Linked DNA regions of Arabidopsis thaliana. The protein of the gene in region 4 interacts with the protein of the main gene of each other region in a pairwise test. Each region holds a gene or a part of one and is shown on either strand. Other genes may lie near its edges.

Region 1 (8,380 bases), on a different chromosome or scaffold from region 4:
GTTGAATATTTTATTAAAGATCAGGCTTAACACGTATCTGAACATTAACGAATAAAAACACAGTATAAAGGACAAATTGAAGGCTAAACCACAGAAAACCGAACCAAAATCCAACCAGGTTAAGATATCGATTTGGCTTGTCATAGGTGGCTCACTCCTTTAAGGTCTTCCTAGTGTGGGATGTGATTAGATACATAAGAAATCAAAACCGCAAATCAAAAATCTAAACCAAAACCGAACAAAACCAAATCAGACCAAAGTGTGACATACCTTGTTCCCTTTTAGATGTGAATAGGCTTGTCATAGGTGGCCATGGCAGCTTCCTTAAGAGCCTCGCTCATAGTGGGATGAGCATGGCAGACTCGAGCAATGTCTTCACTTGATGCATCGTAGTTAATCGCAAGAACAGCCTCATGAATCAGCTCTCCAGCGTTTGGCGCCATAATGTGAACGCCCAAGATCTTATCAGTCTCCTTATCGGCCAGAATCTTAACCAATCCTTCTGCATTATCAATAGCCTTAGCTCTGCTATTCGCCATAAACGGGAATTTCCCAACCCGGTAACTCACACCTTCTTTCTTCAGCTGTTCTTCGGTTTTACCAACCGAAGCAACCTCAGGATGAGTGTAAACAACACCAGGAACCTTGTCATAATCAACATGACCGTGTTTGCCTGCTATGAACTCCACACAAGCAACACCGTCTTCTTCGGCTTTGTGAGCAAGCATTGGTCCTGGAATCACATCTCCAATAGCATACACGCCTGGGACATTACTCAAGAATCTATCATTCACCAGAATCCTCCCGGCTTTGTCAGTTTCCACTCCGATTTTCTCCAGATCAAGTCCAGAAGTGAACGGTGTTCTTCCCGCTGAGACAAGTACCACATCAGCTTCCAGAATAGACTGCTCTCCTCCTTCTGCCGGTTCCACTGTAAGCTTCACACCATCAGAGGAGGAATCCACAGAAACAACTTTAGTCTTGAGCATGAACTTCATCTTCTGCTTCTCAAGAGAACGTTGAAACTGCTTACGAATTTCACCATCCATCGAAGGAACAATATCTCCAGCAAACTCAACAACCGTAACCTCAGATCCAAGCCTACCCCAAACAGAACCCATCTCAAGCCCAATATACCCCGCACCAATAACAATCAATTTCTTCGGAACTTCCGATAGAGACAACGCTCCAGTCGACGAAACAATCTTCTTTTCATCAATCGTAATACCAGGCAAGGACTTAACATCCGAGCCAGTAGCAACAATGATATGTTTACCTTTCACAATAGTGTTTCCTCCATCAATAGTCTCCACCGAGACTTCATTTGGGGAAATAAACTTACCATATCCTTTGACATAAGTCACCTTATTTTTCTTGAACAAACCCTCAATACCACGAGTGAGGTTCTTAACCGCATTATCTTTCTGAGCCAACATAGCAGGAAGATCTACCTCAACAGAAGAGACCTTAATACCATGGTTAGCGAAGGAATGCTTCGCCTCATGGTACATATGTGAAGAGTGAAGCAGAGCCTAATACATCAATAAACACAACCAAGAATTTAGTAATTATGGAATAACTGTGCTTAAGCAAATGATAATCATCACAAAAGACAGTAATTAACTCTCAAAAGAATCATCCACAAAAGGAACAGATCAAAATCGTCAACTATGATCAACAAATTGATTGAAGAAACGAGAGATGATTCGAAATTTGACCTTGGAAGGAATGCAACCGACGTTGAGACAAGTACCACCGAGAGCGCCGCGTTTCTCGATACAAGTGGTTTTGAGACCAAGCTGAGAGGCTTTGATCGCGGCTACGTAACCACCGGGACCGCCGCCGATGATGACGACGTCGTTTTCATCAGATCCTGATGAGGCGAAGCCACGGGAGAGGGAAAAGGAGAATCTGAGAGCGTCAGTGGGAGAGTTTGATAAGTTTCTGGTGAGAAAATACGCCTTCCTCCTAGCTAAACTCGCCATCGCCATTGTTGTTTTAGAGAGAAAGAGAGACTTGGCTCCTTGTAGAGATGAACAGAGCCGGCAAATGTAAAGAGGAGAGGCTCTCTTAGAACCCTTTTTCTCTTTTTAATCACAAATATTTTAATATTTCCTTAATTGACCAAAAATATAGATAAGTAAATAAATCATTTATATGAATGAATACTTGAATTTCTAATCTCAATTATGTACACTAAATATTTGAAATTGATTACAAAGTTACCTTAATGCACACTTGATTTATTATTATTTTCTTGTCAACATTTGAATTACTTTTATAAGTTCTAGACTTCTAATTCATATGTAAAGAAATACACCAAAAAATATTTATGTATATGTAATGAAAAATACTGTATTGTAAAAATTATCAAAAAATATACTCATCAGAAATATATGGACATGAAGATTGTTGGAGGAGAAGAAGATAAAGAGATAAAGATAGAGATGATGAGAAGCAAGTAAGGACAGGATTTGAGGCTTTTGAGATAAACCTCCAAAACCTTTCACAGTCAGAAAGAAACTCTCTGAATTCCACATATATGGGAGAGAGATTCTTAAACCAACCTCCAAAATCTAGATTCAAAATAGTTAAAATTAAAATTCCTTAAAACAATCAATAATGGGTACAACATCACTAATCCTCAAGAACAAAAATGAAATCCTCTTAATCAGTTTCAATAATCCTACCAAAACTTCAGGCTGGTTTTTCTCTCTATCTCTCTCTGAAACAAACCAAAAAAACAGATCAATCAAAAATGAGAAACCACATTACAAACAAGACCTTAACTCTCTATCACTCTCTACGTCTCTTATTTTATCTCATCGAATCGAATCTCAAATTAGAGAAATAATGGTTTGATCGGTAACACCCGATCCCTGTTGTTTGTACATACTGCCAAAAACACTGCTTTCACTCGCCTGCAAGCATTGCTTGTAACCGAGCTCGGGCTTCGTCAGAAACACAGAATCTTAATCTTCTTCTTTGCGGTTGTTTAGGTGAAGACGGAACTGAGGAGAAGCAGATCACTATAACCGTCATATTATCTGATGACTGAAGCCTCGCTGCTTCTTTTCCTAGTTCCATCGCACATTGTCTCGGGTCACCATGCCTCCTCAATCCTTGCCTTACATTACTCACTGCATTCTGGCTTGACAACACATCCCATATACCATCACATGCCAAAATCAAGAACTCGTCGTCCTCTGTTAGAATGATCTGTCCAATCTCTGGGTCTGAAATCAGTGGTGAAGAGGAGTCAGTGAAAGGATTCTTCAGTTCCCAATCTCCAATGGCACGCGTGACAGCTAGGACTCCGTTGAGGTATCCATCCTCAAAGTATCCTCCTAAATCTTCAATCCGCCTTCTTTCTGGCTCATATGTTGATCTGTGATCGAAAGACATATCAACAGCCACTCCTCTCCTACATAGCACTGCACGACAATCTCCAGCATTAGCAACAAGAAGATGTCGTCCGATTATGAGAGCGGTCAAAGCGGTTGTCCCGCATGAACCACTGACAATGGTTTCATCAGCCATGGCAAGATCAGCCAAAGCAAAAGCCTTTCGGTGAGAATTCTCCAGTTCTTCTAAGAAAAACGCGTCCACAATGGAGGGCATCTCTGGAAACACAGCATCTTGGAAAAACAATCTAGTCAAGTTCTCCTTCATGAAAATTGCTGCCTCAGGCCCACCATGACCATCAAACACACCATAAAAAGCACTTGGTACCGAGAAGTTGTAGGATCCAAGGTGAGCTGACAAATCATCTATGCAAATGTGTTCATCCTCCATGGTTTCTCGACTTCGAATGTCAGCAAAGCTCCCTGAACGTATAGTTGGGATAAAGTCACTGGCGGATTCTCCAATGGTAGTAGTTACACAACTCATGCCCTGTTACAACAAATGTACATAAGAAGGTTTGTTTAAGATTCCTGAACTTGGCACAATTAAAGAAACAGAACAGCCAGAACAGAGCATCAGAGTCGTTCCGCTAACAATGTAAAATTGATTCATGAACACCTAAACTAATTCTTCATGCAAAGGTATAAACTTTCCAAAGCACAACACTAATCTTATCATTTTCCATTGTCTACACGAACCTAATCGAAGAGGGTATGTAGGATTCAACATTATTATGCAATAGAGAACAAAAAGAAACCCAAAACTAATATAAGCCCTGATGCAGAATCGGATCATTATCAGAATTTCAAGCAACGGTCTAATCTCAAAATCAAATTATAACTCCTAATCTAAACCAACAAACTCAATTACGAGAAAGAAGAATCCACATGATCTAATTTCTAAGGGAAATTTCTAAGAAACCCAATTAATAAAAATGAGCGATTTTTAGAACAAGAAACCAAAAACACATACCGATCCGAATCGAGGCGTTTCAGCGGAACCCGAAATCTCAGCACGGACAGACTCAGAAACACGAACTTCGTCGATCTGAAAATTCTTCTGATCTTTAGGAGCGGAGATATGGCACTTAACGTCAAGAACCCTGATCTCAGCTTCAGCAACCATTGTTTGACTCAAAATCATGACTTGGTTAATAATCAAATGGAGTAGATCCGATTGCGAATTTCACCGAAAGGCAAATCGACGAATAAATCAACGGGGTAAGAGGTGGTGCTTTGCTTGGACGCAATTGAAATTCGCCTAAAAGAATAAAGAAGACAGGGAATGGGGAATTAGGGTTTGGTTTCTGTGTTGGTTGTTTATTTGCATATTTCTTAATTGACCCATGCCTATATTTAATATAATTTATAAATTTTAATGTATTAAAATACTGTTTTAAAAATATTTATTTTACTAAAAAAGAGTTAATTTTTTAAGCCCAACTTCCATATACCATATTGGACAAGAAAGTGTAATAGATTCTTATATATTCTTTGTGATCTCTAGTTTTCTTATCTACTTTTTTTTGTATATTTAAATTCACATATTTCCCACATAACCGCAAATGTTACTTACAAATTCAATGATTCAGAAGATTCCAAAAATCTAACTGGAACATATATAAACTATAAAAAGACTGTTTTTAAATATTTAGTTTAAATTAAAAAGTTTTTTTCAACTTTTAATTTTCTAAGCCCAACTTCCATATGGGACTCACAAAAAAAAAAGGGAAAGGTCCAGTTTTATTTGAGAATATGTAATAAGTTCTTATACATTTTTTGTGATTTTAGTTCTTTTTTTTTTAATCTATTTTTTTTTGTATATCTGAAATTCAAAGTTCCAACCGAACTGCCTATGACGAACAAATTCAATGGCTTAGAAGATTCTAAAAATCCAACCGAAACATATATAAACGGTAAACATAAGACTATTTGATGTTTTAATAAATTGAAATTGATCTTACAAAAAGAAAATATTTAATTGTTGTTACATATCTATTGTTTTTAAAATGCAGAAATTATACCAAATTAAATAATAATATGAGTAAACAAAGTAGTAAACATATAATATATAATCTAACTGTTTTTTTTTAACGTTGAAAGTTCGCAACAACATTTTTAACTATTTGTATGTGTTTTGCATTTTTGAAGAAAAATCATTATTTGACGGCGAAATAAATTACATACGTGTATTCTTGGTTAAGAAACAAGACAAGTGTATACAAATATGTGTGTGGTGACGCGAGGTTGATGATTTTGAGCATTGGGCGTGACTTCACTGAAGTTGATGATTTGATATCCTTTGTGAATAATTGAATCTTGTTCGTTCTTCTAAATGTGGGTTGACTTTCTTTCTCAAAATGCTCTTTGTTCTCCCTTTATCCTCGACGATCTCAAGGTCGGGTCTTACCACATCTTTGCGACATAATTAATATAGGATGCCTACCGATCGGTACATGGAAAAATTCAAGTTTGGGATCCTACTAAAAAAAATATAGGATGCCTACTGAAAAAAATTAAAATATGATAATGTGTTTATGAGGTTTTAAAATGGAAAAATAATTAATATAGTGAAAATAATTTTTTGTAACTGTATTTCTAAACTTTAAATAAAAAGTAAAATTTAATTGTTATGTTTAGATTCAGAGGGATATATACTATATAAGATATGATTCATTACATACTTTATTAAAATACCCATTTTTGTTAAATCTACAGAGTCCATATTGGAAGTTGGACATATGGACTTTTTCTTAGATAGTTTAGCCCAATGGGCCTATCTCATTTTAAGGCCACGTTAGAGTCAGTCAGCCTATTTTCAAAAAAATAAAATAAAAATTCTTCGTCTTCTTCGTTTCACCATCTCTCTTTTTCTCATCATTCTTCTTCTTCTTCTTCTTCTTCTTCTTCTTCTTCACCTTCTTCTTCCAGCACAACTCCTCAATGGCACGAAATCGGGTATAATTTCTTCTAATCTTACTTCGTTACATATTAACCTTCGTTTTTTTTTCTTATAGGTTTCTTCAGAAATCAATTCAATGAAATTAATACCTTCTTCAGCTTCTGTTTGTTTTCCATCGATGTTTCTTTTTCTACTTAGTTTCGTGCATGTTATTCTACATTGCTGCATACCATTTCTTCTTTGATAATTCTGTTTATGCTGATTTTGACTTCGTTTTATGCTCAATTATGTTCTGGATATCTCATTGATTCATTTTTGGAACTGTTCTTGGAGTAATTTAGGGTTTTAATTTGTCATTTCATTTGAGAGAAATTAGTCCTGCTCGATTTTACTTTTAATTCGATGTGTGTGTGTGTGTTCATCGGAAGCAGGAGGGTTTGGTTTTGGTGCTCGATGTAGGTCCTGCGATGCGTAGTGTTCTCCCTGATGTTGAAAAGGCATGTTCAATGCTACTTCAGAAGAAGGTATACGATCTTTTTCTTCTGAAATTATTGTTCATGAATTTTGGATCTTTCCTTATTGGTTTTGGTTTGTTGTTGCAGTTGATTTACAACAAGTATGATGAAGTTGGAATTGTTGTCTTTGGAACTGAAGGTCTCTCTATCTATTCTTATTACTGATTAAAGTAGGAAGTTAGGAATCTATCCTCTTTAGTACTGCAATGGTTCTTTCTTGGAGTATTATCGGCTTGTTGATGTACTTTGATAATAATGTTTCATGTGACCTCTGCAGAAACTGGAAACGAGCTTGCTAGGGAGATAGGTGGATATGAGAATGTTACAGTTTTAAGGAATATCAGAGTTGTTGATGAATTAGCGGCAGAGCATGTGAAGCAGCTTCCTCGAGGAACTGTAGCTGGAGACTGTATCCTGCTAGCTAGTTTACCGCTTATTTTTACTGTTTCGCTACCATTTTCTTGGTTCTTTAACTGGCTTCAGTTCTTGATGCTTTAATTGTTGGGATGGATATGCTTATAAAGATGTATGGTAATGCACACAAGGGGAAAAAACGGATGTGTCTCATCACGAACGCAGCTTGTCCTACCAAAGATCCATTTGAAGGGACGAAAGATGATCAAGTCAGCACTATTGCTATGAAAATGGCTGCGGAGGGAATTAAGATGGAGAGCATTGTTATGAGGTCTAATTTAAGTGGTGATGCTCATGAGAGAGTAATAGAGGAGAATGATCATCTGTTGACTTTATTCTCCAGCAACGCGATTGCCAAAACAGTGAATGTTGATAGTCCACTCTCACTGCTTGGTTCCTTAAAGACCCGGAGGGTGGCTCCAGTTACTTTGTTCAGGGGTGACCTTGAAATTAACCCAACAATGAAGATTAAGGTAACGCTTTTTTGGTTGTGTCTTTTGCTTGTTGTGCAGAGTTTATAGATATCATCGAACTTGCTGTTCTTTGTTGTTATTCAGTACTTAAGTTCATTCACGTTTATATAATTGTTCGTGAAATTTTTTCTGAAAATAAGAATGTGAAATTTTGTAGGTGTGGGTTTATAAGAAAGTGGCTGAGGAGAGACTTCCCACTCTAAAAATGTATTCTGACAAAGCGCCTCCAACTGACAAGTTTGCCAAACATGAAGTAAAAGTTGATTATGATTACAAAGTTACTGCAGAATCTACTGAGGTTATTGCTCCAGAAGAAAGGATCAAGGGCTTTCGCTATGGACCTCAGGTTATTCCTATATCACCAGATCAGATAGAAACACTCAAGTTTAAAACTGACAAAGGCATGAAGCTTCTGGGATTTACTGAGGCGTCAAATATACTGCGGTAAACATAAAGACATATATCTATGTTTGCCTGTAAACTCTTGGTTGTTAAAGTTTGAGAGAATGCTGTTTTGTGTTTTTCTCTGCATGTCAATGAAGACATTATTACATGAAAGACGTGAATATAGTTGTTCCTGATCCAAGCAAAGAAAAATCTGTACTTGCCGTATCTGCTATTGCAAGAGAAATGAAAGAAACAAACAAGGTAGCAATTGTACGATGTGTCTGG
Region 2 (7,943 bases), on a different chromosome or scaffold from region 4:
TTCGCCGTGACGGGAGCTGATGATCGTGTGTTTGTGGTGGCCAGTGGGATTAACGTAGCGGAAGGGAGAGTGAGTGAAGGGCAAAATGGGGATTTTAGTGTTGAGTGGAGGATGGTTTCGTCTCCTAAAAGTTCTATTCAGTTTTCACCTGCTAGTTGTCATGTGCTATATGTTTGATGTGTAATTGTTGTTAGTTTTGAATTTGTAAACTCTTTTCACTAAAACCCTTTTCACTGGCTAAATCTAACCAACCAATTACTTTTCCTTTTTGTCGGCAACCAACCAGATCATTGGACTGTAGTTTCGATAATAATTTAAAAAAGGGTAAAATATACGTTTAAATAGTTGGCACAACATCACTCTTTGCGTATGTAAAAATTTGAGAGGACCCAATCTTTTTCTTGACAACCTAACTTATCCTCTTATACAGTTCATAATGTAATAATTGTATATTAATATTCTTAAAAGTTAAAACTAAAGGTTATCCACACCAAAAAAGAAGAAGAATTGTGTCTTTTGGGATTAGGAAAAGTCTTAAGGCTGCTACTAATGAATAGATTAATAATGATTATTCCTAACAAATCAAATCTTCCACCATTTGTTATCACTGAAATTTCCTCTAAACTCTCCCTTTAATAAAACAAATTCACAAGAGAAGAACAAATTAAAAACAAGTATTAAAAGAAACAATGTTACTTGATTGATCATTCATCTTCATCATCATCACCATCACCATCATCTTCCTCTTGCAAACTACTTAGACAGAAACAACTTCGAGTCTGAGCCATCAACTCTTTTTTATTTTTCATCATCATCATAATCTTCCTATGATCATCACCATCACCATCATCATCCTCATAATCATCATTGTGAATGTGATGATCCTCTTCATTAGGTTCTTGGAGTGCAAGTAAAGGCATTGAATTAGGGTTTTGCCACGAGTAAAAATTCGAAGCTGACATAGATCTTCCTCTCCTCCTTAACTTATTAGCAATAACCAATCTCCTCCTCTTGTTAAATGGATTCTCAACTTTCTCCAAATCCTTCGCCTTACTCGCTGCTTCCATTAAATTACCAAACGATTTCGATTTCCCGACATAATGATTCGATAATCCTCTCCTGAAAATTAACAAAAACAAAACAAACATCAGTATTCAGACCAAACAAAACCAAGAACTAACTTGAACTATAACAAAATCCCAAATCATAAATTTTAACTTAAGGGTTTCAAGATTTAACCAAAACCATAACACTCAGATTCGCAGATGAGACTTGCCAAGAAAAGTATAAAGATCAAATTTTCAGATCAAGAACATAGTAAAAGACAATTATAGATACATTCATGAGTCAAACCAAACCAAACCCAAACTTACTTAATAGGAAGAGAGTCTTCAAGAGAAGAACTAAACGAATCAAGTGTTCCTCGTTGGCACGAAACGGCGTCGTCTTCTTCTTCTTCCTCCTCGTTTTCACTGCTTTCTCCGATAGACGACGAACTATCCGAAGATTCCTCCGGCGACTTATTATTATTATTACTCATCCTTAATCCAATCCCGATCTGTGATCCACCACGTCCTGATTCATCAGCCAAGAACAGAGCCGTTTGAACAGCCTTATCCTGCGCCGAAACACCGCGATGATCTCTAACGTACGCCGCCATGCCGATTCCAAACGACGAACCAACCATAACCTCCATATAAACTTTTCCGATTAAGATCTCTTTCTCTAGCCTGTGAATATACCCGAAAGACTCAGATGATCATAAATCGCCGGCGATGTGCGTAGGTGAAGAGCTTTAACCAGCGCAGGTTAATGATATAGGAAGAGAGATATACAAAAGAAGGTGAAATGCAAAACAACACTGAACGAGAAAAATGGAATAAATTCTCATTTACATTTATAACGACAATATCGTATAAAAATACGATTACGTATTGAATACGAATATTTATACGTATTTATGAGTCTGGAAACACATGTTCCTAAATATAGAATAGTCCTAGGCACGCTAACGGCGACTTTGACGGTATAGACACGGTCTTGCTGACGTGGAGAGTTTTCATTGGTTTAAGTTTGGACTTTTGCCGGACGTTTCGGGTTACTGTCTCCGTTTAATCCGATGTATGTCGTTGTACCGAAAGTTCGGTGGTCACTATCACACCATATCTCAACCTTATCCATTTATATTTTGATTTTGTTTCTTTAAATGTTTTAAGATGTTTTAGAAATATGTGGAAAAAGGGAAAAAAATCTTGATTAGTTATATCAATTCAATTGGATGGATAATATTTGGTATGCAAAATTAAGATGCTGATTTTTTTCTGTTAATAAGTCAAAAGATTACAAAAATATTCGTGTATGATTTACTTTATGTTTTTAAATGGAAATTAATATATTTAAAAATATATAATTAGTACTATCTGAATGATTAGTTTAGTACAAGTGGACAAATTAAACCTTATCTCGTTTACTTTTAGTACAATTAAAACCAATATCGTTAATGATACAAAAAAATCTATATTATAATGAAAATTTGCTAATGCTGGATTAGTGCGGAAGCAAGAACTTTGACTCGTTCAAAATGCGAATATTGGTTTATTTTATACTTTAATTAGCAAATTACTTTGCTGAGTCATGAATGTTTAAAATGTAAAATGAATCCAAAATCATCTATTTTACAATATCATATACATGAGATCAAATTATTGTATGATCCAATCCTAAGATTTTAAATGTTGGTTTTTATACAGTTCAAAGCAATTAGGTTTTGTTATAATCATGAGTTGATATAGATCAAATAACATAATATATGGAGGGATATCATTAGACCAATTAGATAAATCTAACCTTATCTCTTTAACTGATAATCTTGTTTATGAAATGTGGCTAACTTAAGTCTATTAATTGTGTCTAAAGGGTATCTTCCTGTTTAGCTTTACCTCTGGCATTTTATTTTAGAAAATTCAATGGTGGACTATGAAACATTTTTTAAGATATTACTTTTTTGTCATCCTGTTATTAAATTAATTATCAAAATCTGTTAAGCTCTTAATGTTAATGTATTTCCTCTTGTTTATAATTACGTTGTTAGACTTTAGATCTTGACGATGATACTGAAAAGAATTGGTAGTTTGACTTGTATAAATCGAATATGTGAACTAGCTGTGTTGTTGTTTGCTAGTGACTTGATGAATGATTGCCGCATTTTTTTTTAATTGAACATGTTAGTTGTGTGTATACTTGTGTCGTGTGTATATTTGTCCGCATTTATATAATCGAGTTGATAGACACAAAATTACTTCCAACACTCGTATAACCTATATAGCCAGTTTAAACTTTTGAGTCTTAAGTATATAAGTTTCAACCCATCAAATAAATAGATGGGTTATATTCTCCCATAAGAAATCTCGAACCCAAATTTATTTGAGTTGGGTTGAGTCAACCAGTTCAATTAATCTAATGGATAACATTTTGCATGTATTTATGGCCCCATAATATAGAAATAGATCTGGAAGCCCAAGCCCAACCTTCTCCCACTTATACTCAGAGCCGACATTTGGTGTCGGCAACGCCAATATATTATTGGAGAAGTTGAAGGAAGACTCATGTTGTGTGGCTTCAGAGAGTGATGCCAAAAATACGAGAACTAGACAGACCCGTGAGTGATATCAATTGTTTTACTCTTCGACACAGACAAATGGGAAACACGCTTACCATCATATATTCATATACCTTTTACTCAAATGAAATGTGAAACCTGATCTCCAAGACTCCATTTTTCAGCAACTTCTGGGGCCAAGTTTTTGTATCAGACGCATCCCAATATGATAAGTTTCACTTCCCAAGTATTTGGTCTTTTCTAGCATATATATTGGATTTATCTAAAGAAAACTATACACTAAAAATGGTTAGCAAAAAATAACACTTTGCTTTAAGTATTAACTTAGGTCCTCTTTTAAAACCTTGCTTAGGTAACCATATTCTCTATTCAGTCGTTAAAATCTTTATTAATACTATAACCCGGCTTTTGTTTTTATTTTTCAGCAAAAAAAAACACAAACACACACACACATTTAATCAGAAATCCAGCAAGGTCCAACAAGAAGAAAAAACACAATCAAAATTCCTTATAAATTAATCAAAACACTAGCTAGACAGTAGACACAATACAAATCAAACTAATGTCGACTTCTAAGACCATAACCTTCACTCTCTTCATAGCAGCACTACTCTCGTCCTGCGACGCAGCCACAAACGCTACATCGCAACCACTATTTCCAGCGATTCTTATCTTTGGCGATTCAACAGTTGACACAGGTAACAACAACTACCACTCACAAACAATCTTCAAAGCCAAACATCTTCCTTACGGAATCGATCTCCCAAACCACAAAGCTAGTGGAAGATTTACAAATGGCAAAATCTTTTCCGACATAATCGCAACAAAACTCAACATCAAACAGTTTGTTCCTCCCTTCTTACAACCAAATCTCTCTGACCAAGAGATTGTAACCGGAGTCTGTTTTGCATCAGCCGGTGCGGGTTACGATGACCATACCAGTCTCTCTACGCAAGCGATTCGTGTCTTGGACCAACAAAAGATGTTCAAGAATTACATTGCTCGTCTTAAAAGTATCGTAGGAGACAAGAAAGCTATGGAAATCATAAAAAATGCTTTGGTGGTTATAAGTGCAGGGCCTAACGATTTTATCTTGAACTATTACGATATTCCTTCAAGGCGTCTTGAGTTTCCTCACATTTCTGGTTACCAAGACTTTGTTCTTCAAAGGCTTGACAATTTCGTGCGGGTAATGTTTTCAAATATTTGCTCGATTTACCTCTACAACAAAACCTTTTTCTGCAATAAAATTTTAAAAAACTACATTTTAATAACTTAGTTAGAATAGTCTATAATGCATTATTCGACACACATTTAGGAATGAAGTTTTTAGGGCTTAGTGGATAGGGTTTAGGGTTCCCACTCGTCTTGTTAATCTTTCTAGTGTGTGTGCAGGAGCTTTACAGTTTAGGTTGCCGGAAAATTATGGTAGGAGGTTTACCGCCGATGGGTTGTTTACCGATTCAAATGACTGCTAAATTCCGAAACGCTCTAAGGTTCTGCTTGGAACAAGAGAACCGAGACTCTGTCTTATACAATCAGAAACTTCAGAATCTATTACCTCAAATCGAAGCATCGCTTACAGGAAGCAAGATCCTTTACTCCAATGTCTATGACCCTATGATGGACATGATGCAAAACCCTAGCAAATACGGTATAGATGATACAATCTCTTTCTTGTTTGGCAAGGTATCCTATGAGATAAATATTGACCAGTGATTATATATGTTCATTGATGTGGAAACTAAAACAGGATTTAAAGAGACGAAGAGAGGATGTTGTGGAACAGGGCATTTGGAGACGAGCTTCATGTGTAATGCTTTTTCTCCAACGTGTAGAAATCACTCGGAGTTTTTGTTCTTTGACTCGATTCATCCATCCGAAGCTACTTATAATTATATGGGCAATTTTCTAGATACTCAGATCCGCGTGTGGCTTAGCTTGAGGCTTAAGTCATAATTATATTGGCAATTTTCTGGATCTCAAGTACTATACTAAATCAGTTCGCTTTCACTTGTTGACAAAACGAAAGAAAATATTAGTTAATTAAGTTAAATTTTTTTTTAAAACCCCTCGTATAGATCAAATAAAATAAGTTATGTATTAGGTTAAAGAGAAAAAAAAAAAAAAAGGAAGCAACAACTAAATTTTTTTTAGTTATTCTCGATTCTACGACAAAATTGTGAGTCCGTCGTGTTCATATATTCGTAGTAGCTGTTCCTCATCCATATTATCATAGCACTTGAAAAAAGAATAGAGCAAGGACATTAGGAGCCACAAGGCAAAGGGTATTCCAAAACATAGAGTGGATAAGCGAGAAATAGAATGAAGAAGGAGAAGAGTATCGTAAAGCCAAAGATATGACGTATAGGTCCTAGAAAATTAGTTTTCAAGAATTTGACACGGTCATCTTCTGAAGGAGCGTATACGGCTATGTAGATCCACACAACCTAATCGGCAATACATGTGATGACGTAGAGAGGCCAGAGATATATGAAAGGCTCGCCATCTAGAGCGACGTCGATATTGTTATCTCTTATGTACCAAAACGATGCAAGACCGGTTCCCATAATGAAAAAGTTAATGTACAAATCGTAATATATGATCTTGTTAAACAATTATAGATCGTTAAAGTCATAATAATAATAATAATGATAATAAAAAAAATCATCGATTGTATGTATCGACTCACCACCAAATAGAACACCGAGACTCAACGGTAATAAAACAATATTGGTGCTCAGAAAATTTGTTGTCGGCCATAGTTATACACATATACACATAGAATCCAATTCCCTGTCTAATTGGGTTTTCGAAAATTTATCTTTTTGTTTTTATTGTTTTTTGTTTTGGTTAAAGGTTAAAATGTTATAGAGAATTTCAGTTTCCTATTAGAAATATGTAATACAAATAGACTTCTCAAATAATCATATGTATAATGATTTTTTTTTCCTTCTTTTAAGATGTTCTTATCATAAAAAAAAAAAACAAATTGCATTTAAAAAAAAATACTCAATTAACTCCTTTTAAGTTTATATTTATTAGCTTTAATTTAAAAACAAAAAAAATATATATAAAGCATGATCATAACGAAATAATACAACATACGAATATATAATAGAGATTGGATGAATAAAATTAAAAATATTGAGAATTTACATATGTTTTACTTATAATTCATTTTCTATTTTGCTTATATTTTATGTACTTTTTGCTTTAAAAACAATATGAGCAAACTTTATATTTTAATAATTCTAGAACAACTATAAAATATTAACAGAGTTATAAAATAAATAAGTTATCATAATGCATTTGCATTATAAACCTACACTACATTTGGTATTATATTTTTGACAAAAAATGTAATTTATCTTTATTAGGAAATAAACTTGGTCTTGCTTTGCTTTTTCTAGGTGGAACATATAAAAAAATATTAGAAAATAAAATTAGAGAAAATCTTACATAAAAATAATCAAATAAAAAAGTTACAATCAACTTTTTTAAGAAAACAAGTAACCTATTTGGGTACTCATTTAATTCTATATAATAAATTAATACTATAACAATATGTAATCATTTTCTCTCCCTATTTGTTTCTCACTCTCTTTGTTTTCCTCAACACAATGGCTTTGACATTTGACGGCGTCGAAAAGAGATTCGAGATCACCTTCTCAGCCTCGACATCCAACGAAAATATACGCCACGAGAAATGTGTTGGACCAGATTCTGAAACCCGTCGGCGGTTTCGATCGATGTGGTGGCTCCATCGCTGTTGCCTTCTATACGGTGGCTGCGTCATAGTGATTGTGAGGTGGTGGCTCTGATGCTTTGCTTCGCAATGTCTAAATCAACTTATCCAGTAGACCACGTCCATAAATACTTAAAAGACTATGATTTTTCACTATCAACCATCTAAACATATCGACGACATAGATGAATATAGACAATGTTATTTAAAAATTTAGAGTGTAAGGTTTTAGATTTAACTATAGCAACAAACTTAACGCATGACTGGCAAACAATTGTTAAATAAGAAATGGATTAGGTTGATGGATGCTTATATATGAATAAAGTGGTAAATTTCCCAACTGGGTTCGACGCCCGTTGAGAAGAATCCGTTTTCCAAATATGATGAATTTAATAATTTGTTGTGGATCCCGCCTCTAGAAGATGTAAGACCTTCTTGCTTGAACTTTCAGATATTAAAAAAAAAAATGCTATGCTAATTATTATGACGCTAACACCATTTCCAAGAATTCATTTCAAAATACTTAATCCTACCTTCTAAACTCAAACTGATTTATAATTTGGTTTAAATGAATAA
Region 3 (8,310 bases), about 18 Mb from region 4:
GAACAGTAACAAGCATATTGGCACCATTGTCAACAGGGTTAGACCACTTTCTAGAGACATGGTTGAGCCCCAAATCGAGCTCATAGAAAGTCAAATGCTTCTGAGCCTCACTAGCGGCTTGGCCAGTAGGATCCTGATCTGCCTCGGAGTAATCAAGCTCAATGGCTGCAAAAATCGGGTTATCGAAACCGCAGTCCACACCGCAGAGAGAATAGCAAATGGTATGAGACTTGTGAGCCTCCAAGGGAGAAGAAATAGTTAACCTAGCAGTGGTATCTCTGTTCAAAACATAAACCAATTTCTGCTTCTCACAAGCTCCAATCATAACAGCTCTTCCTTTGGGATCAACAGCCACGTACTGGCCTGGCACAATTCTTCTGCAACCAGACTTGCCAAAAGTCTCCTGGTGAACTTTATCGAACACATTCTTCTCCTTGTTGTACTCAAGTATAACAATCCTACCCGAATCTGAGCCTACTACGATATAATCCTTCTGCGCACCAGTCAACCTAAACTGAGCTAGGGATCTAATTGCACCAAATACTTCTACAGAGTGTATCGTCTGGATCTTACCGTTCTCGTCGGGACGGAGAAGATCCAAAATCTTGCCACGAGCTACCGCAATCTCCTGTGTCTTCCCGCCGGAGAAGTTCCCGTTGATTGCGCAGACGATTCCGGTCGCCTGCTGCAGAGTAAGACTGTACAGATACATCTCTCAAACTAGCAAGCTACAACCACCAGCAACGGCTAGGATTTAGGAGAATCCCCGAAACTGGAAGGACTTGAGGATGGTTTTGGCTCCGAGTTTAAGTGAACTCCTAGCGCATCTGCAACTTCGGATTTGGCAGATTTTGGTGAGGAACGGAAAGAATAAACCCTATATAATGAATTACCGCCATAGCTCCAAAGCTCTACGACGGAAGTGGTGTTCCTCTGCTAGGCGGTGATTCAATCATGGGCCTAACTTTTGGATCTAATATAGCAATATTGGCCCATCTTATTTTAGATTTAAGCCCAAATAATGACAAGAGTCCAAGACTGGTTTTGTCTCCGATTATCATTTTTCATTAACAAAAATTGATTACAAGAAATTGAACTTTTTTTTTTGGTGGAAACAAGAAATTGAACTTAATATAAAGATAAACTATAGAATGACAACATTTTCTCTCATTAAATTTGTGAAGTCACAAAAATAGAGTGGTATTGCATAATTATGTGATTGGTTAATATTGCAAATATAATTATGTTACTTATGTATGAAATTAACATGGCTAATTAAGATCTCTCTTCCATTTAATTTCTTAACATGATTTATTCTAATTTCTAACGAATAGATAGAAAGAAACAAAAATAGGTCAAAGAAATCAAGAAGGCTAGAAGAAGCAAGAGGAGTAAGTAGCAAATTAAAATGAATAAAACCTAGAGGTTTAGTTAAATCCATTAATCAACTAGAGTATGAGAATGCAACGACAATAACAACAACAACAACTCCACTCCATGATCTCATCATCCTCCGCGCTTCCTATATAAACAAACCCATTAGCCTTAGAAAATAAACACAAACCTAAAACCAAAACAAAAAGAAAGAACAATGGCCAAAGCTCTTAGCCTTACAATCTTTCTCTTTCTCTTGATAGCTTCCAATGTCCAATCCGCTCGACTTCTCGATGAGGTTCAAACTCAGCCACAATTAGTCCCCCAGGTACCGGAAGAGGAAGATGATAGTCCACAAGCCGTAACAACAACTCCAACACCAATTCCTCTCCCAGGACCCGCCACGGGAGGACCCGAGCCAATCCTAGAGTTCTTTATGCATGACGTGCTAGGCGGGTCACACCCATCAGCACGTGTGGTTACAGGGATAGTAGCACAAACAGAGGTGAATGGAATACCGTTTTCTAAATCCAGCAACAACATTTTCCCAGTAGATAACGCAGTGCCGCTTGTGAACGCAAACAGCATCAACAACTTAATCAATCCAAACACAGCTCCACTCCTAACAGGACTTAGTGGCTCTCAAGCCAACACCGTAATCCAAAACAGTAACGGTAACTCTCAAGGATCCCTTAGCTCCAACAACCTTCCCTTTGTAACCACGGGTCAGCTCCCTCCCATAGCTGCCCTCCAACAGCTTATGTTTGGCTCTATCACCGTGGTTGACGATGAGCTCACCGAGGGCCATGAGTTGGGCTCTGCGATCATTGGGAGAGCCCAAGGGTTTTATCTCGCTAGCTCTTTGGATGGAACTAGCCAGACCCTTTCGTTGACAGTGTTACTCCACGAAGATCATGATCATCATGACACCCTTGATGATGCCATCAGCTTCTTTGGGGTTCACCGAACCGCTTCTCATGCGTCGCATATCGCTGTTGTGGGTGGAACTGGGAGATTCGAGCATGCTAAAGGGTATGCTGTCGTGGAGACTCTACACAACCAGGAAGACCAACATGTTACTGATGGTCATGATACCATTCTCCATTTCAGTGTTTATCTTACATACTACAAAGCTTGAAGAGTTATGGCATTTGTTGAAAGAAAATTCCTCTGTTTCGTTTGTATGTTCTTCTTTATAAGTTTAATGTGTGGTCTATATTGTGTTGTGCACGTTTACTGTACTGAAAAAAAGAAAGTTAAATGACAATCTTTGTCTTTAATTCTTTATATTCAAAACTCTCTGTTTTTTGGCAAATACATACCTTTTGCATTTCAACCGGTCTATTTATTCGTTTGTATATACTATATACTCTCGAAATTCCATTTTTATATCAAGTTAACGTAAGAATAAATCCTTTTTATAATTTTTTGTTTACTTACCAACAAAAAGAAAGAATTATTACATAGGAGCCATGTAGTCTAGATTTACGTGGGCTGGAAATTGAAACGTGTTACTACTCTTGTGAGTAGTCACTCACTTAACAACGCATGTTAAGTGAGAGTTTTCTTATGAACTTTGACCCAAAAAGACATTTCTGCACAAGGTATAACAAATTAACAACGTTCAAGTTATGGGCTGATCATAGGATCGGACACATTTTGACCACTTAATCGCAAATTAATTGGATATTGTTCAAGAACTTTTTCTCCATGTTATTGTTTTTGTTTAATTAATGTAAATTTTCAATTTGAAGAAATTTCTATTAAAAACAAAAATGGCTGCATAGACGTTCCCCAAAAAAAAAACAGCCGATCATGGACCAAAAAACAGCTGATCAACGTTTTTACTGATCTGGCTAAAATCTGGACTTTTGGGTTCCGAAACTTGCAAGCATATGGAAACCATGATACAAAATTTCCAAGAGTGCTAAAGCCTTTTAAGGTGACCAAAACCCGAAATAAATAGTTTATTTGAAAATATATACACACGATACATTCAATTAAAACACCACACCATCGATCCATGTATGAGCTAGCGTCCGTTTCATTATATATAATTAAACAGAGGCAATATTATGTGGACCACGTACGTATAACGTACCAAAAAGAGTGTCATCACTCCTTTTTTTGCTGTCTTGCTTGTTGGACCGATGCTAAGATGAAAAAACGATTTACTTATAAACATGCATGCGTCAGGGATAAATCGTTTTCATGAGATTCATATATATAAACTATAAGGTTTTCGAAATCTAACGATCGAACATCGCGATCAGTCGTCGGATTCTTTAGATGAATCCGAGATAATCTTCTGGATCATCTGGTTTGTCTCTTCCTCCGACATTTGCTCTTGTTTGCTTTGCCTCTCCTCATACGCCTTGAAGAATTCCTTGTTCTCTTTCTCCAGCTCCTTCCACACTGTCATTTATTTTGTTCCAATTCATTAATATTATGATAACAAAATATATAGGCCGGATATATATGTTGCAAGGATTTTTATATTTTCTTTGGCTTTTTTTGTATATGTATAAGTTCTAGTCGCCAGGTAGTCAAGTCAGTGTATATAATCATTAATTTGATTATGCATGAGCACTTATATGAATAGAAATATTGAAGATCGATCCATCACGCTAGATCCTATCTGTAGCTAATTAAGTACATATTACATGATCAAATTCTAAATGATGGTATCATAATATGATGATAGCTCCATAATTTATACATATAATTAATCCCGTTAGAGAGTACATAGGTACAGATATGTTTGTGTGTTTATAAGGATTACGGAAAGGTAAAAAGTATTAAAAAAGAGGAGAGAGAGAGAGAGGAATTAAAACCAGTAGAGGTGATGACAGGAGTGATGTTTGCATGCTTAGAGAGAGCTTCCACACACTCTTCTTTGCTCATATGGAAGATCAAACATTTCTCTATCATGTGCTGCACCTATACATACATACACACATCCAAAGATATTGAGGTACATACGTAAAAGATAAATAGATAAGATCATTCATAGAATCGACGGCCGGAGAAGTACATGAGGTTCTTGAATCAATATAATATTACCATGTGAATGTAAGAAGCAGAAGAAGAATCTGCCATTGTTAATGGAAACCCTAGAATTAACACCCAAACTTAAAAGAGAGTCTTCTTTCTAAAAGCCACTTGTGGAGATAAAGACAGCCATATATAGAAGAAGATCACGCAAAAAGATGAAGAAGGAGACAAAAGAGTGAATAGTTGAAAGATGATATGCATGCATGGGGCCAGAAGCCCCACGTGGGAGATTGATCATAATTGGCTGAGAAAGGATTAGAGGAGATTTGTAAAATCACTCTTTCTCTCTTCTCCCTTCGTTTTTTCATTTCCATCTCACGCATCCTCCACGTGATCCATGGCCCCTCTCTCTCTATACATTTTCTGCAAAAAAACACTTAGTCGTGTTTTAATTTCCATAATCTTCTAGAAATTAAATCTATACCTATTTGTTAATGTTTTAACTTATATAAGAAAATGAAAGTTAGTTGTATTGGCTCTAAGAGCACATGATTACATAAAAGGAGAGTAAACGATAAATTCGGAATTTTAAAGGATTGATACTTTAAAAAATGGCAAATAAAATAATGACTTCAACAATTGTAACTCACCGAATTCCTTTTGAAACAATATAAAACCATAGTGCGAAATATACAAGGCATATAATCATAAGTCTTAACACTTATGTTAAGGCTTACCATTAATAAAGAAAAGATAACTGTTGTAACAAACATATCAAATGTATATCTACGATGACTACCGTTGTGTGACCATCGATTTGACAATTGAAATATCATAAGAAGACGTATTAGAGGCCTAGGTCGCCCCTGAACATCGGTACGTCTACTCTTAAGGTGAGGCAAGAGAGGCATGAACTTGTTTTCCTTTTTCTTTTTCTTTTTGTTAAAGGAATGTTGAACTTGTTTAAATAGGGAATACCATGCATATAAAATATATAACTGGTAAGTTGATTGATAAGAACATTTGAAATCACTTGAGCACTTTAAGAAAAGGAGAAGTGAAGAAATATGCGGATGAGATCCAAACGTGGTTTGCATCGAGCAACATTAAGGATAGAAAATCTTTGTAATTTGTTTTTTAAAAAGTTTGCATTTTGCATTCACATGTATAAATGTTTCTTTTTTCTTTGAATATAATCTAGATTCAAAAAAGTTATAATATATATATATATATATATATATATATATATATATTGTAACTACATATTATGAGTATGAGATAATCCATATACATTAGTAAACCTCTGTCGTAAAAAGAACCAACGTAATTTACACGACATGTTATAGATAAATGTTTGCTACTGAATTTTTCAGTTCTGTCATATATGTATGAGCCTCCTCCTAATTAAGTCCTAACTCTTAACCATGCATACCAACATGTTTATTAATATTAAGACCGGTAAAAGAAACCCAGAAATTATCATGTACTTGTTAATGTAGCATAAAAGACAAAATCCCACTCCATCTCATAAATGATAATATTGATATGGATTAGTGGAACCTATTACATCTAATAAACATTACATCTGACGTAAGTTACACAGTTGATTTTGTTTTTTTATAATTAGTTTTTTGAAGTTACGCTATTGAAATTTCTGTCTAATGATTAACTTAGTTCTTTTTCTTCTGAAATTTTTGTTATTTATGAATGACACAAACCCCCGAAAAAGTTGATTACACCAACCAAATGTCGTCGATCTCTTCCAGATAATATTCATAATTTAATCATCTACGTAATTGACTCCTCAAAGTATTAATTTGGGTATAGTCGTACCACCATGACAAGTGTAGTATACGTTACAATAATGGACGGCCAAAAAAAAGGCAAAGTGATCATCAATAGTTTTTTGGTTGGGTAAGGGGACGCGGGAGATTAAAGTTTTTGATTCTAAACCAATAGGACGATGACATGTCACGTATAACAATCCACATTGAGATCAAATAATCGCAAATGGTACAACCATCTGAGTGACGTGGCGCAAATGGACATGAGAGAGAGTGAGAGAATCTACAAAGGTTACGTAAAGAAGTGAGAGACAAACACATTGTGGGTGTTTTGTCGAAATCAAAGGTTTCAGAAGGATCCATCAAATTCAGACATTAAATAAAACTACACATATTCCTCATCATGTGGACCTCTCAATTTGAGTCCTGAAACAGCAACTATTCCCTCGAATCAAATTCAAACCCTATTCATGATCACTTTCTCTCTCATTCCCTCTCCTCGTCAACAAGATTACAAACCAAGACGCCTATTCTCTCTCATCCACTTATTTCTTTTACCTAAGATACTTCCTTATCCAGCTCTTAAGATCATGCTATCAAAGTTCATTCGAATCCGTATGAGTGATTATGTAGTTATAATGAGCGTATATTTCATTTATAAGGAATTTGAAAACGGTTTATGTGTTACAAGAAAATAGTGTATGTATTGTAACGAGTAACGTATATATTACATAAAAATTACTACGGAGTTTACTCTATTTTCTTCTGTCTGTTCATTGTTCTATTTTCTCTGTGTTCATACTTATATTCTTTTGGCTTAGAGATAATCATATACGTATAGTATACCGGATTTTACTTCTAAAGCGCATTCAGTTAAATATGAACTTTCAGTTTTTAACTTTTCTACCAAATAAATTAAGGCACATCATAACTACTTTCCATGGTTATTATGCTTGGTATCTTGTGGTCGTGGAAGCTGAGTCTTACATGACTTCATATAGTTATTTTCTTTCTTTTTTCTAAATCAGCTATTAGATACTGGTGTAATTTATGGTTATTCTCTTGCAACTATATTCATAATTTAGCAAAGAGACTATATATTATTCATGGATCACATTTTGTCCAAATTGACAAAGCCATCAAGAATTATTGATTACCCTACCCATATTGAATGTCTATCGTTCGATTTTTCTCAAGAATGAAACTTTGGTGGGGTTTCTGATTAATACTAGTAAGTCATTAAGAGGTTCGAAATAATATCACAGAAGACGAGACAGCAGAAAGACGAGACAGTGCAAAAAGAGACAAAGGTGGTGCAGTAGACTCACTATTATTATTGCCTTAACTCAATTTTCAAACCAAAAGCTCTCAGAAAGCAAACCCACATTTGTCCCATGGACAAGTGGAGATTCTATTGACCACACCCACTCCACTTGATTTTTCCTATTCTCTAAAGCCAAATTGCTCCAAAAAAAAATCTTTAAATTTTTGGGTTAAAGTGTACGATGTGATTGAATTTCTGTTATCCAATGAGATCATGCCGTGTCAGCATAACGGAATATGTTTGTTGTATTTTTTCCTTTGAGCCAAAACAAGTGATCAGAGACGTAATGATATTATAGGGGCATCTAGCTACGTATTGGATTATGAATACTTTAGGTGTCTTGATTTTTTCTGTCTAATAAATCTAAGCTAGTTGGTTGGCCCAATTAGATCACGATTGGAATCGAAAGTTTCGTTTCGATTACTTTGTATCAAGTATCAACCGATTAAATGATATTTATTGCTCAAGTTAGCAAATACTCAAATGTTTTACTAAACGCTCGAGTTTGGTTGAAAGCACAAAAAAAAACAAAAAACTCACCATGTTGTACAATACACAAATTGTTCAAGCTACGAAACAAAACTACAACTTTATCCGGGTCCATTCATAGAGTGGATCCAAACTTTAGGTTATAATTCGATATTTGGACAATTTAGGAAAGCCTTATACTATTTTGAAGATCTTGGTCTGCCTCAACTTAGGATTCCTTATTTCTCTGTATATATTTTTTTTCATATCAAGATTAGACATTGTGAACAAGTATAAACTGTCCGTGGACAACAATATTTGGACGTTTCAATTTCAACGCTTCTCAATGCTGCAAATATTGAAGTA
Region 4 (7,861 bases):
CTCCGACCAAAAATTGGGGAACGACGATGGCGACGACTCTTCAGAAACTCTCCTCTCAAATCCACCGACTCTCTCCATTCACCAGATCTCTAATCGTTCGCACATCCGCAACGTCTGCTCCTTCTCCGTCTCTGGGATCGAAGAAAGTCTCTGACCGAATCGTCAAGCTTTCTGCGATCGATCCCGATGGATACAAGCAGGACATCATTGGACTCTCTGGCCAGACTCTCCTTCGTGCGCTCACTCACACTGGTCTGATAGATCCAGCATCGCATAGATTGGATGACATCGAGGCTTGCTCAGCGGAGTGCGAGGTTCAGATCGCAGAGGAATGGCTCGAGAAGCTCCCGCCGCGTACTTACGATGAGGAGTATGTGCTGAAGCGTAGCTCTAGATCCCGTATCTTGAACAAGCACTCGCGTCTTGGTTGCCAAGTTGTGTTAACGCAGGAGCTTCAAGGTATGGTCGTCGCTGTCCCTGAAGCTAAGCCTTGGGATATTCCGTAAGTTTTTGTTCTTGAGGATCTCATAAATGTTGGGTTCGTTCTCAATTTGGCTAATAAAATTCGCTTTGGAAATTTCGGTACTCTGAAGATAACTCCATTTGAATCTGTAATTTTCGTTTGCTTACATTTAAATTTTGTAATGTGGTAAAGAACTCTGCTTGTTTAAACGATTCCCTGCTTCAAGTATGGGTGAATGTTGTTTTCTTGATTTCATTTTCGTTGCTTCTTCTTCCATTAGATTGGTTAGAGACTATGGTGTTATATCTAGAGATTGGTAAAAGCAATTGGAAAATGCTAGGAGGTTATTGAACACATTGTGTTGAATTGTGGTTACCTGGTGTTGATATCTGTTGGTCTCGAGCTCAATTTGCCAACAGCTTTAAGCATAGAGAAAGAGAGTATATAGAATGATGTGACTTCTTAGTACTGGAATGAGATTCTTTTTACAGACCATATAGTAATCTTCCCGGTTTCGGTATGCTTAGGATTAATAGGCCATCCTTTATATTCTCGGGTCTAATTGTCTAAGGAGGTGTTTCCGTTGAGTTAGAAGAATTAGTGGAGTTTTGATCTTTCATTCTCATAACCACTGCATCTTTGGTGAGGCTGAGATAACATTAAATATACTCTGAGCATTGTAATCACAGTTTCTGCTTTTAGGGAAAGGGAATAAGGTAGAATGGATCTGGCATCTTATACCAATGGTTTAGTAGATTTGATTTGAGCCTTGTAAACAGAAACTCTGTTTGTAGGATCGATTCTTGTTCAGGGTTTGATTCAGTAACAAAACATATTGAGTATACTGTTTAGATATTATTTTCCTACCAGTAGTTTCTAAACACAGCTTAGGCATCTTTAAATGTTGCGAATAGTTTTCTAATTCTTACTCGTTTTTCAAAATCCGAAACCAAAGCAAACTGAAAAATGGATGCTCATCTCTATCTACCTGAAAACGTCGATATCAAAATCAATTTCTGCTTGTGGTGCACTTAACACAATAATCATTACTCTCAGTCTTATAAGGATGTGCAATACAACATAATTTAAACCTGTTAACAGACTATCAATCTGTTAAGAAGTGATTAAGACCTTGACTATTTTAAAGGCTATCTCTTTTATTTTAATTTTATTATTGTTCAAGTTGTCTCTTCTATTTTCGAAACATCGCCATGTTCAAATCGACAAAAAAAGAAGTGTATAGAACAAATCCACTTAGAATAAGTTACATCTTATGTAGATAAAATAAATAAATAAGTTTTGTAGAAAATTAACCAAACATATACAAACAGACGATAAGCATTTGAATTGAATTATATTTGTCTATACCATAAATTGAGTCTCAAAAGATTTAACCTGAAATAACTATCCTAACGGAAAACTGTTTTGAAGATGACAAAATACGAGATAATGTGTAGATTCCGTGTGTATCTCTATTGATAGACTTTAGTTTTTGTGTATTCTTGAAGGACATAAACCTATTTTAAGACCAGTTCAACAGAAAACTGGTGCAGACCACGATCACAGTTGTAATGAGTTTTCTAAAATGGTAACCACTCCTTTTCCTTTAAGAAGCAGTCCTTCTTGTCTCCTGCCCTAATTCTCTTCTTCTCTATAAACCCATATTCTAGTTTTGTTCTCATTCATTCTCTGTTCAAAGCTCATAAATAATAAACTCCAATTAAGAATGGATCAAGCGGAGCTTGCCAGGATCTTCCAAATGTTCGACAGGAACGGTGATGGCAAAATCACGAAGCAAGAGCTGAATGATTCATTGGAGAATCTAGGAATCTACATTCCAGACAAAGACTTGGTGCAGATGATCGAGAAGATTGATCTCAACGGTGATGGGTACGTGGACATCGAAGAGTTTGGAGGGTTGTACCAGACGATAATGGAGGAAAGAGACGAGGAGGAAGACATGAGAGAGGCTTTCAACGTGTTTGATCAGAACCGGGACGGGTTCATCACGGTGGAAGAGCTAAGGTCTGTGTTAGCTTCCTTGGGGCTCAAACAAGGAAGAACCCTAGAGGATTGCAAGAGGATGATAAGCAAAGTTGACGTTGATGGAGATGGCATGGTGAATTTCAAAGAGTTTAAACAAATGATGAAAGGTGGTGGATTTGCCGCCTTAGGATCAAACTTGTAAAAAAAAAACTCATTTTTCGGGTTCGGGTTTGAGACCCAAAATCATTGGGTATTTTTTTCTTCGGAATGATTATTAGGGCAAAACCTTGAAAGCGATGATGAATGGATTTGCAAAAGAAAAAAGCTCAACAAACTTTGTGAGCTTTGTTTTGAATGCTCCTACAAAAATGTTGTTGATGAATTTGCTTTTCGGATTTTGAAACATAACCATGCGAATCTACGGGAACACTTGATGATTCTTTTATTATTTATATATTTGGGTGTTGCACTTAAAAAGTTATCACTATCTAGCTTATAATCATAAAATGATGAAAATATATTTGTATTTGTAAATTACAAAGATTAAACACAAACAAACAATCGAATTTCTACCCAAAAAAACAAACAAACAATCGAATTTATGTCTTTAAAGTGAAGATTTAGGTCAAAGTAATGGAAAAAAGTGTCTCATGGAATATGTTAGTCAGGCGGTCAAAGTAAAAAGTAAAAAGAGAAAAAACTATAAACTACATGATGTTTAACTCTTCAAGTGACGTCAAGACATAAACTACGTGCCGTTTCGCACTATTCGTAATCCAACGGGCGAGACTGGAATGAATTTATGACCAGATCTTGGTTTTTTCTTGTCGTCTTCTTCACCGCTTACCAGTTACTAACTTGAGCTTCAGAGATCATCATCATCATCACTTCCTCTCTCTGAAGAAAACACAATTTGGAGTTTTCTAATCTTCATTCCAAGTGAGTACTTCAATCGAATCCCTTTTCTACTATTCAATAATTCAATCTATTATTCAAATTCTCGTCTATCTGTTTCGATGATTTTGAGGTTTTCGCTCCCTTTTGTTATCAAATTATGGAATCTGATTCCCAATTTCGCGTTTGTATGTACTCGATTTTCTCTTTTTTCTTGCATGATTACACTTTGGTGAAGTTCAGAATTCGAGTAATATCACTTGAAATTGCTACTCTCTGCCTATTCATTAGGGTTTATGAATACATAGTTTAGGGTTTATGTTTCCATTAGTCACTTCTTGAGGACCTGCTTATCTTCGAGCCATTGTGTATTTGATAAACTTTGGAAGAAGTGTCCACTATATCTAGCGTAGGACTGAATGTAGTAGATTAGAACTGCTAAGAGTTGGTTAGAGAAAGGGGTGGGTAATTTATAAGGATTTTCTAGGGTTTGGTTAGGTATTCGGTAGAGAGTTTCTGGTTTGGTGAACAAGACATAGCTTTGCATCATTTGTTTTGAGTTGAGATGTTTGTGTGTTGTGTTGTGGCAGTGGAAGGGAACTCTTTACCCGAAGAAGATGTAGAGATGATGGAGAATTCAGATGTAATGAAGACAGTCACAGATGAAGCTTCTCCAATGGTGGAGCCGTTCATTGGTATGGAGTTTGAATCAGAAGAGGCTGCAAAGTCTTTCTATGACAATTACGCTACATGCATGGGTTTCGTTATGCGAGTGGATGCTTTCAGGAGGTCAATGCGAGATGGGACTGTGGTGTGGCGCAGACTCGTGTGTAATAAAGAAGGATTTCGTAGGTCGAGACCTCGGAGAAGCGAGAGTAGAAAGCCTCGGGCTATAACAAGAGAAGGGTGTAAAGCTCTGATTGTTGTGAAAAGAGAGAAATCCGGAACATGGCTTGTTACTAAATTTGAGAAAGAGCATAATCATCCTCTCTTGCCTCTCTCCCCTAATGTTCGCCGGAATTTTCAGCTCCCTCAAACACCGGTACGTCTACGCACTTTTCCTTGGGGTAAAAGTAAAACAGTGATTATTGGCATTGATCTAAGAGTTACCAAGAACATAAAGCTCAAAAAATGATATCGAAATCTTGTACAAATGAACTTTTCAGGACGAGAAAGACGCAAAGATTAGGGAGCTGAGTGCAGAGCTGAGCCGAGAGAGAAGGCGTTGTACTGCTTTGCAACAGCAGCTTGATATGGTCCTTAAGGAGATGGAAGAACATTCCAACCATCTCACCATTAACATCAATAGTGTTATCCAAAGTGTTAGAGACATTGAGTCCAATACTTTCACCAAACAACAAACATAATGCTTCATTTCTGTTCATAAAAGCTTAACATCAAATTCTCATAATCCAATGTTCTGTATCTTGTGATTGATTCTTCATTCTCCGAAACAAAAAAACAAAAAACTAGATTGGAAGGCATTGATGATGAAATTACACATTGGCTAATCAAAACAAAGCCATGGACATTATCCAATTTTGACATAGCATCAATGCCAGAAAGCGTAAATGGCGGTAGAGATGTAAATCAGCAGAGCAGAGGAAACCAGAGTGACGAGCGTTGCAACAGCTTGAGCCGCCGATTTGCTGCCGCAAGAGAGCAAACCAAGACGGATCTGAATCACATTAACCATAGAGAGCATCAAGAAGAGACAGCCCATTACAGATCCGACAGCAGAAGCCATCATTCCCCATCTCAAAACCTTGATATTGATGTGAGCTCTGAAAATCTCGTTGACGTCTTTGCTATTAAGAAGGTTTAAGGCAAGCTTAAGACCCTGAGCTACAAGAGAGGAGAAGAGGAAGAAGCTGAAGGAGACGACTTCGAAGACCAGTAGCTTCTTGGCGACGTCAGCACTTGCGTCGCAGCTGGATCGTTGTTCGAGGCTGTGTTGTCCTGGAGTCGCTAAGGAAAGACCAACGAAGACGGCGATGGTGAAGAGAGAGTTCACGTTCACGAGTCCGTCGAGAGCGCTTACGTGGACACTTGTGGTGGCGAGGGAGGATGTTGAAGACGCCTCTGGTGACGTCATTCTCACGCCGTTCTCAGCGCCGGTCATGTAGTTAACCTTCGGCTCAGATCTGCTCGGAAAGGGAAAAAAAGAAACGCAATGGTTAAAAAAAAGATAGATTGATTTTAGGGAAGAGAGAGGGTTTGCTTACTCATACATGAGGGAATCTATTTAAGCAATGAGTTTAGCTTTCCGTCGGGGCTTAGCTTGAAGAAAGAGATGGATTGTCTTAAAGAGAGAGCTTGTCGGAAACACTCTCTCTCTCCCTATCTTTGTACAAACCAGCTTCTTTGAGGCATTTCTTTTCCACGTCACATTAAGTTGTTGACTTTTTCCGATTTTTCTTCTCTTTTTGAATTTTGTTTTTCTGTATGCAGTCAAATGTTAATGGATTTTTGGGTGAATTTAAAAGATTTTTTTTAATGATTTACTATTAGCAACACTTCATAAATAATTTGAATGCATTTTTCAAATCACTAATAAGATTTTCTCTTAAAATTAATGATTAACTTGAGATTTTTCAATCTAATAAGACAAATCATATAGGATACATTCCCTTTTAAGTACCCAATTCGAAGGTTAAAGATAAAAAATTGTCTCAAGCTATGGATGGGATTGACACATATAAGCATATAACGATGTACAAAAGGAGAAGAAATATGAGAATTGCATTTCTGAGGTAAGTGATAAGAAGATGTCAGGCTTCAGATGACTGAATTCTCATTTTGCCTGTTTGGTGTGGTGGGAGAAGGACGAATTTCTCTTGCAAATCGATGACTAACATAACGGTGGAAATGTTTAAGCACAACTTGCCTTTGTTCTCGGTTCCAGGGGATTAGATAGACGATGAGAGCAAACGCAAAAGAAACTCCTGTGATCATAAACAAACCGCGAAATGTGTATACAGTGAGAGGATGGAACGTATCCTCGCTTGTGGCTGACGTCGTTTGTCTCTGGAACCACCAATTCTCTATGGCTTTTAGCTTCTCTGTTCTCCTTAGCTTTTCGATTTCTCTTGACACCTTTTGAACCAAAGGAGAACCTTTCTGGAAAGCCTGAGAGAGAGAGATGGATTAAGTCAAATAAGTGTGCATACCAATAATGTAATAATAGACGAAAGTTTTGGGGGTAAAAGCTTTACAAATCCAAAGCCGTTGGTTACGCTTTCGGTTTCGACAATGACGAATTCTGAAGGGTGCTTTGCAACAAAGAGCTTTACATATGGAACTTCATCGACGATAAACGAGATAGTTCCATTCCTTAAAGCATTTGTAAAATCGTCAGCTGTCTTTAATCCCTTGTATCTCGGTCCTTGGAACGTAGGATTATCATTAACCACATTTGCTGCAATAGAGGCAGAAAAGAAGCCAATGTTTTCGTTTGATTTCAACCCGCGTATCTGTTGAACCGTCATCACTGATGTCAACGTTGCAGTGTAATTTGAAGTCAATATAAGCACTGCAAATATCCAAACAATAACTACAAATCTTGACATATTATGTTGCAGCCTCTCCCCTATATATCAACAATATCAAAGCAAAAAAAATGGTCAGAGAGTTCTTGTAATAGATAAAATCAAGAAGGCTAATTCGATCTTCTCGTACTTACGATGGGCAAAGACAAGGGTCGAGAACCCAAAACATAGCAATGTTCCAATCTGTTGGAAACAAGAGCCTTGGAAGTCAGCGTTATCATGCCGCTCTATCAACCAAACTATAGCCCCCGTCAAGATAAAGAAACTTGCAATTGTTAGCCAAAGACTAAGTGTCAAAGGCTTAAAGATAATCCACATGCTTTTGTCTTTGGCAGTAACAACTGCGAGTCCCATATCAGTGAAAGGTAATGTAAAATCTACATATAAAGATCTGTTATCAGTAATCGTGATATCCCCAACAGCTGCATCGTACTTGTCTTTCTGTGAAAGAAGCAAAACAAATAATTAATGTTATAGTGCATGAAAGTGAAGTTGTATCTAAAATAGTATATGGTGAACATTGGCTTCTCCACTAATTACCAATTAGTTTTGAGTTGAATGCTCATAATTCCCCAAACTTAAAGAGTAATATATAACTAATGATAGACCGCGATAAGCCACAACAGTGTGTATATATATATTACCTGGCTATACAGTGTGTACACAAGATCGTTGTAGTTCTTGTAGTTAATTGCACCAGGCCAAGGTATGTACTCCACTTCATAATTGAAAGGTAGGATTGATGTCTCAAAAACGTCAATACAGTATCCTGTAGCAGCTGTGACTCCAGTTTTAAAATCTGTTTTCACTTCCAGTATTTGCGGAGTTATGTTTCCTGCTGGTACTAAAACTCTCAGCTTCTTCTTTTTACCATGCCTCTTCTCTTTCAACGAACGGATTTTCGGAATTCTTGTAGACCCTCCAGGCCAGATGATTGTCTCAAGTGCTTTGGTAGAAGACAAACGTCTTC

Evidence for each region.
Region 1: the proteins of AT3G07500 (region 4) and AT1G48040 interact in a two-hybrid assay, tested with the Arabidopsis thaliana proteins (one large-scale study listed by BioGRID).
Region 2: the proteins of AT3G07500 (region 4) and AT2G24550 interact in a two-hybrid assay, tested with the Arabidopsis thaliana proteins (one large-scale study listed by BioGRID).
Region 3: the proteins of AT3G07500 (region 4) and AT3G55240 interact in a two-hybrid assay, tested with the Arabidopsis thaliana proteins (one large-scale study listed by BioGRID).

Annotation. Positions count from the first base shown.
Region 1 is NC_003070.9:17,717,151-17,725,530, forward strand, and holds AT1G48040 (Protein phosphatase 2C family protein), read right to left. Parts: upstream 4,742-8,380; 5' UTR 4,549-4,741; coding exon 4,378-4,548; intron 3,895-4,377; coding exon 2,914-3,894; 3' UTR 2,434-2,913; downstream 1-2,433. Other genes in the region: mtLPD1 (mitochondrial lipoamide dehydrogenase 1), read right to left, coding at 282-1,532, 1,719-1,991; Ku80 family protein, read left to right, coding at 6,348-6,362, 6,738-6,830, 6,909-6,960, 7,099-7,230, 7,305-7,708, 7,866-8,152, 8,251-8,380.
Region 2 is NC_003071.7:10,427,356-10,435,298, forward strand, and holds AT2G24550 (major centromere autoantigen B-like protein), read right to left. Parts: upstream 2,133-7,943; 5' UTR 1,697-2,132; coding exon 1,374-1,696; intron 1,120-1,373; coding exon 705-1,119; 3' UTR 501-704; downstream 1-500. Other genes in the region: AFR (Galactose oxidase/kelch repeat superfamily protein), read left to right, coding at 1-177; AT2G24560 (GDSL-like Lipase/Acylhydrolase family protein), read left to right, coding at 4,182-4,808, 5,015-5,273, 5,373-5,578. UniProt on the Arabidopsis thaliana protein: Probable transcription factor. Promotes slightly the tolerance to cadmium (Cd) and to oxidizing chemicals (e.g. diamide).
Region 3 is NC_003074.8:20,470,233-20,478,542, forward strand, and holds AT3G55240 (Plant protein 1589 of unknown function), read right to left. Parts: upstream 5,101-8,310; 5' UTR 4,474-5,100; coding exon 4,438-4,473; intron 4,315-4,437; coding exon 4,209-4,314; intron 3,790-4,208; coding exon 3,644-3,789; 3' UTR 3,103-3,643; downstream 1-3,102. Other genes in the region: SAP130b (Cleavage and polyadenylation specificity factor (CPSF) A subunit protein), read right to left, coding at 1-712; AT3G55230 (Disease resistance-responsive (dirigent-like protein) family protein), read left to right, coding at 1,592-2,512.
Region 4 is NC_003074.8:2,389,000-2,396,860, forward strand, and holds AT3G07500 (Far-red impaired responsive (FAR1) family protein), read left to right. Parts: upstream 1-3,216; 5' UTR 3,217-3,387; coding exon 3,388-3,388; intron 3,389-3,933; coding exon 3,934-4,385; intron 4,386-4,509; coding exon 4,510-4,710; 3' UTR 4,711-4,779; downstream 4,780-7,861. Other genes in the region: AT3G07480 (2Fe-2S ferredoxin-like superfamily protein), read left to right, coding at 27-506; AGD11 (ARF-GAP domain 11), read left to right, coding at 2,190-2,651; AT3G07510 (maternal effect embryo arrest protein), read right to left, coding at 4,896-5,487, 5,569-5,576; GLR1.4 (glutamate receptor 1.4), read right to left, coding at 6,122-6,472, 6,559-6,932, 7,026-7,332, 7,536-7,861.